Linked DNA regions of Callithrix jacchus. The protein of the gene in region 2 interacts with the protein of the main gene of each other region in a pairwise test. Links are inferred from orthologs where the notes say so. Each region holds a gene or a part of one and is shown on either strand. Other genes may lie near its edges.

What was found. The genes of interacting proteins can lie anywhere in the genome.
Region 1: the proteins of DUSP12 (region 2) and PPP2R3B interact in binary tests that used the Homo sapiens proteins (3 or more experiments, as listed by UniProt). The two-hybrid records come from large-scale screens. The link is inferred for Callithrix jacchus from reciprocal best matches to the Homo sapiens genes DUSP12 and PPP2R3B.

What each region holds. Positions count from the first base shown.
Region 1 is NC_133524.1:734,234-738,208, forward strand, and holds the end of PPP2R3B (serine/threonine-protein phosphatase 2A regulatory subunit B'' subunit beta), read right to left. Parts: intron 858-3,975; coding exon 707-857; 3' UTR 637-706; downstream 1-636. UniProt on the Homo sapiens protein: The B regulatory subunit might modulate substrate selectivity and catalytic activity, and might also direct the localization of the catalytic enzyme to a particular subcellular compartment.
Region 2 is NC_133519.1:21,594,733-21,598,371, reverse strand, and holds part of DUSP12 (dual specificity protein phosphatase 12), read right to left. Parts: coding exon 3,629-3,639; intron 2,905-3,628; coding exon 2,718-2,904; intron 1-2,717. UniProt on the Homo sapiens protein: Dual specificity phosphatase; can dephosphorylate both phosphotyrosine and phosphoserine or phosphothreonine residues. Can dephosphorylate glucokinase (in vitro).

The sequences.
Region 1 (3,975 bases), on a different chromosome or scaffold from region 2:
AGGCCGCTGTGTTCCCTTCCAGGGCCCCAGGGAGGCCTCTGCCATCTCAGCCTGGAACCCACACGGGGTCTCCTCCTCGTGTCCCCCAGGCCGGCCCATCCCAGCCAGGCAGGTGCAGCCACACGGGGTCTCCTCCTCGTGTCCCCCAGGCCGGGCCATCGCACCCAGGCAGGTGCAGCCACACGGGGTCTCCTCCTCGTGTCCCCCAGGCCGGCCCATCGCACCCAGGCAGGTGCAGCCACACGGGGTCTCCTCCTCGTGTCCCCCAGGCCGGCCCATCCCACCCAGGCAGGTGTAGCCACCCGGGGTCTCCTCCTCGTGTCCCCCAGGCCGGCCCATCGCACCCAGGCAGGTGCAGCCACACGGGGTGTCCTCTCCTCGTGTCCCCCAGGCCGGCCCATCCCAGCCAGGCAGGTGCAGCCACACGGGGTCTCCTCCTCGTGTCCCCCAGGCCGGCCCATCCCACCCAGGCAGGTGTAGCCACCCGGGGTCTCCTCCTCGTGTCCCCCAGGCCGGCCCATCCCACCCAGGCAGGTGTAGCCACCTGGGGTCTCCTCCTCGTGTCCCCCAGGCCGGCCCATCGCACCCAGGCAGGTGCAGCCAGACCCCCCCCAGCGCCAGCAATCACCGCGCCTGTGTGAATAAATAAAAATTTATCATTCGGTACAAACGCACTCGTTTTCCACAAAACACAACGCGGACGTTTTTACAGCGGCTGCAGGTCCTCGTCCCCGCACGCGAACTCGTACAGGTCCACGGCGCCCAGGGGCGAGGGCGCCTCGAAGAAGGGCCTCTGGGCCAGCGGCGACCGCAGCGCACTCAGCTTCTGCTCCACAGGGCTGAGCTCGGCCTCGAACCTGCAACGAGGGGATGGCAAAGGCGTGTCTGGCGGCGCCGCGGGCCCTGGAGCTGCAGGTGCCGACCCAGCTGTGCGCTCCCGGCCGGCGGTGCCACCTGCACCAGTGGTCCCTGGGGAGGGGGCTGTGGTCACAGGACGGTCACACCCCCGGCGCCAGGTCCCCGCAGGGGCTTTCCCAGGGCAGGAATCCGGGGGCGCGCGTTTCTCGAAGCCACGTGACGGGGACTCAGAGCAGCGCTGACCTGCGTGGACGCGCTTACAGGTTTCTGCGGGGTCCACGCGGGAAGGCAGAACAAAACCCGGGATGTGACACGGTTTCAAAAACGGCGCGGCCACGCGTGGCTTAGGATTGTCCCAACACACGCACGGGCTCCCGGGGACCAGAACGCACAGCAGCACGAGGCCTGCACATGCGCGCGCGGTGAGCCATCCGCAGTGACAGAGGACAGTGCCCCGGGACACCGGCGTGGCCACCGGCCGCACAGACCCTCGGAGGTCCGGTGTGGACACGTCTGCTCTGCAACATGCCCCCCGGAAGCCTGGCGCTGAGATCCCCACGGTCCCGGTCACTCCCGGCCATGGACGAGAGTGCGGCCAACCAGCGCGGGAGCGGACACGGAAGGTGGCACGTGGCTACCTGAGCGTGGGGCCGGCTGTGCCGCAGACCTGGGCTGGGCGGCGATGGCGGTGGATACTGGTCAGGTGGGGAGCAGGGGGACGGAGGCGGAGAATGGGGGGAGGAGGGGCAGCACGAAAATGGGGGGCAGGAGAATGGGGAGAATGGGGGGAGGAGGGGCAGCACGAAAATGGGAAGCAGGAGAATGGGAGTGGGGAGCATGAAAATGGGGAGGAGAATGGGAGGGGGGAGCATGAAAATGGGGAGCAGGAGAATGGGAGGAGGGGGAGCAGGAAAATGGGGAGGGGAATGGGAGGGGGGAGCATGAAAATGGGGAGGAGAATGGGCGGAGGAGGGTGACCATGAAAATGGGGAGCAAAATGGGAGCGGGGAGCATGAAAATGGAGAGGAGAATGGGAGGGGGGAGCATGAAAATGGGGAGGACAATGGGAGGGGGGAGCATGAAAATGGGTGGGAGAATGGGAGGGGGGAGCATGAAAACGGGGAGCAGAATGGGAGGACGGAGAGCATGAAAATGGGGAAGGGGAGGGGGAGCAGGGACACACGGATGGCGGGGGGTGTGGGGGGCGCAGCGGGAGCCCCAGGAGCTCGGCAGGAATGGGAGGGGCGTCTGGGGAGGCGCAAGGGTTAGAACGCAGCTCCGTGGAGCCCGTGGGTCGGGAACTATAGAGTGTTTTGAGCTGCCGGTAAGTGACAACGCCTGACTCGGCCGCGCTCCCAGGGCCCACTGAGAAGAGAGGAAAGGGCTTCGGTCAGCGGCCCAGGCTGCCGCGTGAAGGCACCTGGAGAACAGAAGGAAAACCAGAACAAAGGCAACAGAAAATCAGTGGCACTCGTGGTTCCGTGACAAGACAGAAAATCGGTGGCACTCGTGGTTCCGTGACAAGACAGAAAATCGGTGGCACTCGTGGTTCCGTGACAAGACAGAAAATCGGTGGCACTCGTGGTTCCGTGACAAGACAGAAAATCGGTGGCACTCGTGGTTCCGTGACAAGACAGAAAATCGGTGGCACTCGTGGTTCCGTGACAAGACAGAAAATCGGTGGCACTCGTGGTTCCGTGACAAGACAGAAAATCGGTGGCACTCGTGGTTCCGTGACAAGACGAATCGACCGTCCTTACCCCCACTGTTCATGCAGAGAAACAGAAATGGGCATCGCGCCCGCGGGACACGCCAGCGCTGTGGATGCTGCGGATGTGAAACCCACAAGCAGGAAACGTCGCCGATGATGACGAAATCACTTGGGTGAACACACAAGGGTCTGGAGCACGGGAACCGGCCAAGCTCCCTCTAGGGCGGGTGCGGGGGCTCAGGCCGCTCTTCCCAACACTCTGGGGCCTGAGGCGGGCAGAACCCTTGAGCTCACGTGTTCAAGACCAGCCTAAACCCCATCTCCACAAAAGTTACCGGGCGTGGGGGCGCTGGCCTGTCATCGCAGCGACCCCCCAGAAAACAAAACCTCACGGACATGGCCTGAGCCAGCTTCTGATAACCGTCACTTTTGCTTTTTTGAGACATGGAGTTTCGCTCTTATTTCCCAGGCTGGAGTGCAATGGTGCAACCTCAGCTCACGGCAGCCAACAGCTCCCAGGTTCAAGCAGTTTTCCTGCGTCCGCCTCCCAGTCGCCGGGATCACAGGCATCTGTGCCACCACGCCCGGCTCACTTTGTGTCCTTGTAGTAGACACGGGGTTTCACCATGTTGCCCAGGCTGGTTTTGAACTCCCGACCTCACGTGATCGGCCCGCCTCGGCCTCCCAGTGTTGGGATTTAGAGGCGTGAGCCACCGCACCGGCTGAATTCGATTTTTAGTTAAAAGCCTCTCACAAAGCTGCCGTTCCCAACGGCTTCCCTGGCCAATTCCACCAAACAGGTCCAGGAAATTCATGAAAATTCCGGTAACGACAGTTCTGGGGGGAACAGACGGGAGCACATGTTGCCCTGACGTTAGTAACGGGTTTGTACGTTGAGGCGCAGGCATCGACACACCCGAAACTTCCGTGGTGCCACCATCGAGCACTTAATGAGAAACCGAGGCCCACACGGGGTCACTGGTGAATTCTACCAGACATCGAGGGAGAAGTAACAGGTCGGCGCTACGCACTCTTCCAGAGAACACGGGGAGACCATACTGCTCCCCATTCCCTGAGCCAGCATTACCCCAACACCAAAGCCAGACCCAGATATTGCAAAAACAGCAGCCGGCCGGGCGCGGCGGCTCATACTTGCCACCCGAGCACTTTGGGAGGCCGAGGAGTGAGGATCCCTTGAGCCCAGGAGTTTGAGGCCAGCCTGGGCAACACAGCAAGACTCTCTTAAAACAACTAGCTGGGTGTGGAGACACAGTCCTGCAGTCCCAGGTGCTCGGGAGGCCGGGACGAGAGCATCACCTGAGCCCGGGAGGTGGAGGTGAGGTGAGATCCCACCGCTGCACTCCAGCCCTGGTGACAGAGCAAGACCCTGACTCACCCCCCAGCCC
Region 2 (3,639 bases):
GTAAACTATAAATGGCTGGTAAATATATAAAGATGGTGGTCGATGACTATTTTCACAAAATTCCAATTAAACATTTTAGGATTAACATTTTTTACCCCACAGGTTGACAAAACATTACCAGTTGTATAGTATCTATCATGTCAAGGATATGGGGTACATGCATTCTGTTACTGAAACCCAAATTTATATGAGTATTTTGGATATTGTACTAGAATATCACTAATATTTAAAACACACCTTCTTTGAACCAGGAATTCCACTTCTAGGTACATATTCTATAGAAAAAAATTCAACTATGTATACAAAGAAGTATGCACAGGATTCAGAATCTTACATAAAAATGTATTTAACTTGGTTGGAGTGTGTGTTTGTTTCCCAGGTTAAATAAAATCAGAAAGTCAAAATCACAAGCCACAAAAAAGAAAAACTGATGAATTAGATATAACCGAAATTAAAAACTCTAACTGCTACAAATAATGCCATCAAGAATGGGAAGTTAGGGCCAGGCGCAGTGGCTCACACCTGTAATCCCAGCACTTTGGGAGGCCGAGGCGGGTGGATCATGAGGTCAAGAGATCGAGACCATGCTGGTCAACATGGTGAAACCCCGTCTCTATTAAAAATACAAAAAATTAGCTGGCCAAGGTGGCACGTGCCTGTAATCCCAGCTACTCAGGAGGCTGAGGCAGGAGAATTGCCTGAACCCAGGAGGTGGAGGTTACAGTGAGCCAAGATCCCGTCATTGCACTCCAGCTAGGGTCACAAGAGCAAAACTCCATCTCAAAAAAAAAAAAGAATGGGAAGTGACTGATAATGTGTACATTATTTTTCGGGTGCTGTGAATGGTAATGTGATAAGGTTTGGCCCTGTGTCCTCATCCAAATCTCATCTCAAATTGTAATCCCCACATGTGGAGGAAGGGAGGTGACTGGATCATAGAGGCGGATTCCCCCATGCTGTTCTTGCGATAGTGAGTTAGTTTTTATAAGATCCAATGGTTTTATAAGTGATAGCTTCTCCTTCACACATGCTTCTCTCTCCTGCCGCCTTGTGAAGAGGAGGCCTGCTTTCCCTTCCAACACGATTATAAGTTTCCTGAGGCCTCCCCAGCCATGCAGAATCATGAGTCAATTAAACCTTTCCTTTATAAATTACCCAGTCTCACATACTATCTTAAAGCAGTGTGAAAATGGACTAATACATGATGGCGGTTGCAAAAAACACTGTGAATACACTTTTAAAAAACCACTGAATTGTACACCTTAAATAGGTAAATTGTATGTCCTGTGAATTATACTATAATAAGGTGGTTTTTTTAAAAACCAGCATCATCTGAAAATGTGAGTTTGATCATAGGGTACCACCTTCTAGGGAAGACACTAACTGATAAACAGTTTCCTCATGCATAAAATGTAAATATAACTGCTCTACCTATTTTATAAAGCTATGGCATTCTTCAAATGATATAGTTAAAGGGTTTCATAAAATAGCCACTATACAAACTTTTATACAAATCATACAAACATTCAAAATCATTATTAAGATTATTATTATAGAATACCTTCACATTAGTATCAAATAAACCTAAAGGAGAAATGTGGCTGTCATGGCGCACTCCAACCAAGTTAAACACATTTTTATGTAAGATGTCACATGAACTGCATTCTTTCTTTCTTTTTTTTCCACACCCACTGGTTATAGGAGCAATAGGATGAGCTGTATTCTTTAACTGGAAATGAAAAAGAATCTCATAGCAAAACATATTAAATTTCACTTTCCGGAAAGATCAGAGAAAAGAGAGAGACACATACAGGAAGCCAACAGAGAAAAATAAAGAACTTTTAACCTAATTTTAAAATCCCTGATTTACCCTACTGTTGTTACAAAGTTCAAATTTTGTTAAATATATTTTTTCTTTTATATATACACGTTTTTTTATTGTTGTTGTTGTTATTTATTTATTTATTTTTTTGAGATGGAGTTTTGCTCGTTACCCAGGCTGGAGTGCCATGGCGCAATCTCAGCTCACCGCAACCTCTGCCTCCTGGGTTCAGGCAATTCTCCTGCCTCAGCCTCCTGAGTAGCTGGGATTACAGGCACGCGCCACCATGCCCAGCTAATTTTTTGTATTTTTTAGTAGAGACGGGGTTTCACCATGTTGACCAGGATGGTCTCGATCTCTTGACTTCATGATCCACCCGCCTCAGCCTCCCAAAGTGCTGGGATTACAGGCGTGAGCCACCGCACCCGGCCATATGTTTTTTTTTAATTAAAATTTTTTTACTTTCTTTTACAGGGATGGGGTCTCACTATGTTACCCAAGCTGGTCTTGAACTCCTGGGCTTAAGCAATCCTTCGCCTTGGCCTCCCAAAGTTCTCTGATTTACAGGCATCAGCCACCGTGCCCAGCCAATATATTCTAATTAGCTTAAAAATAAATGTTAGCCTTATAGTTGAAAAAATATAAATAGCTTTAAAGGAAATTTATTAACTTAGACCAGTGTTCTCAATCAGAAGTGATTCACTATTTCGGATCAGCTGGTTTTTGGAAAATATTTTATTTTTGATAGTCTTATCTACACTAGAAAAATATAATCTTCAGAAATAAAGGAGTTAAGAAATAGAGTAAAACACTAGTTAAAATAGAGTTGAAAATGCAAGAAGGAATAAAATATAGATGATTCAATAAAACTGTAGAAAATAAAATGTGTTTTCACCTGTCCATCCATCACTCCCAACAAAGCAGATTCCATCCACTGTACAGGTTCAATGAAGTAAGATGTACATTGAGCTTGCCTCCCTGCGGTAAGCTTGAAAGATGGTGTCATTCTCTTGTGGGCAAAGGCTATAGGTCTACTTCCTTCATGGTGATCCAGAATACTAGAACTTCGAAATAATGATCGCCTGCAACCCCCAAACACAAATATTAATGACTTTCAAAAGGATGAAAACATGGATGAAATGTGCAACTTCTTTTTTTTTTCTCAATTTTTTTTTTTTGCGACAGAGTCTCACTCTGTTGACCAGGCTGGAGTGCAACGGCAAAATCTTGGCTGACTGCAACCTCTGCCTCCTGGGTTCAAGTAATTCTCCCACCTCAGCCTCCTGAGTAGCTGGAATTACAGGCACCTGCCACCACGCCCAGCTAATTTTTGTATTTTTAGTAGAGATGGGGTTTTACCATGTTGGCCAGGCTGGTCTCAAACTCCTGACCTCATGTGATCCGCCCACCTTGGCCTCCCAAACTGCTGGGATTACAGGCGTGAGGCACCATGCCTGGTGAAGTGTGCAGTATTTCTTAAAGGACAAAATAATGTAACACTAATTATGTTACTCAAATTTTCAGTAACCCCTACAATCTTATTATTTCTATTTTTAAGAATTTATATTCTTCCTGAAAGCATATCTGAACTAAAACTTTCTGTATTATTCAATTAAACAAAATTTTCCTACAGTAATTTAAGAAAATAAAACACTAAGTACTTTTCAGCTACTGAGACAAGATAAAATCTCCAAAGGATACAAAAATAAACAAAAATTTCCTACAGTAATTTAAGAAAATAAAACACTAAGTACTTTTCAGCTACTGAGACAAGATAAAATCTCCAAAGGATACAAAATATTTTACCTGCACTTTCT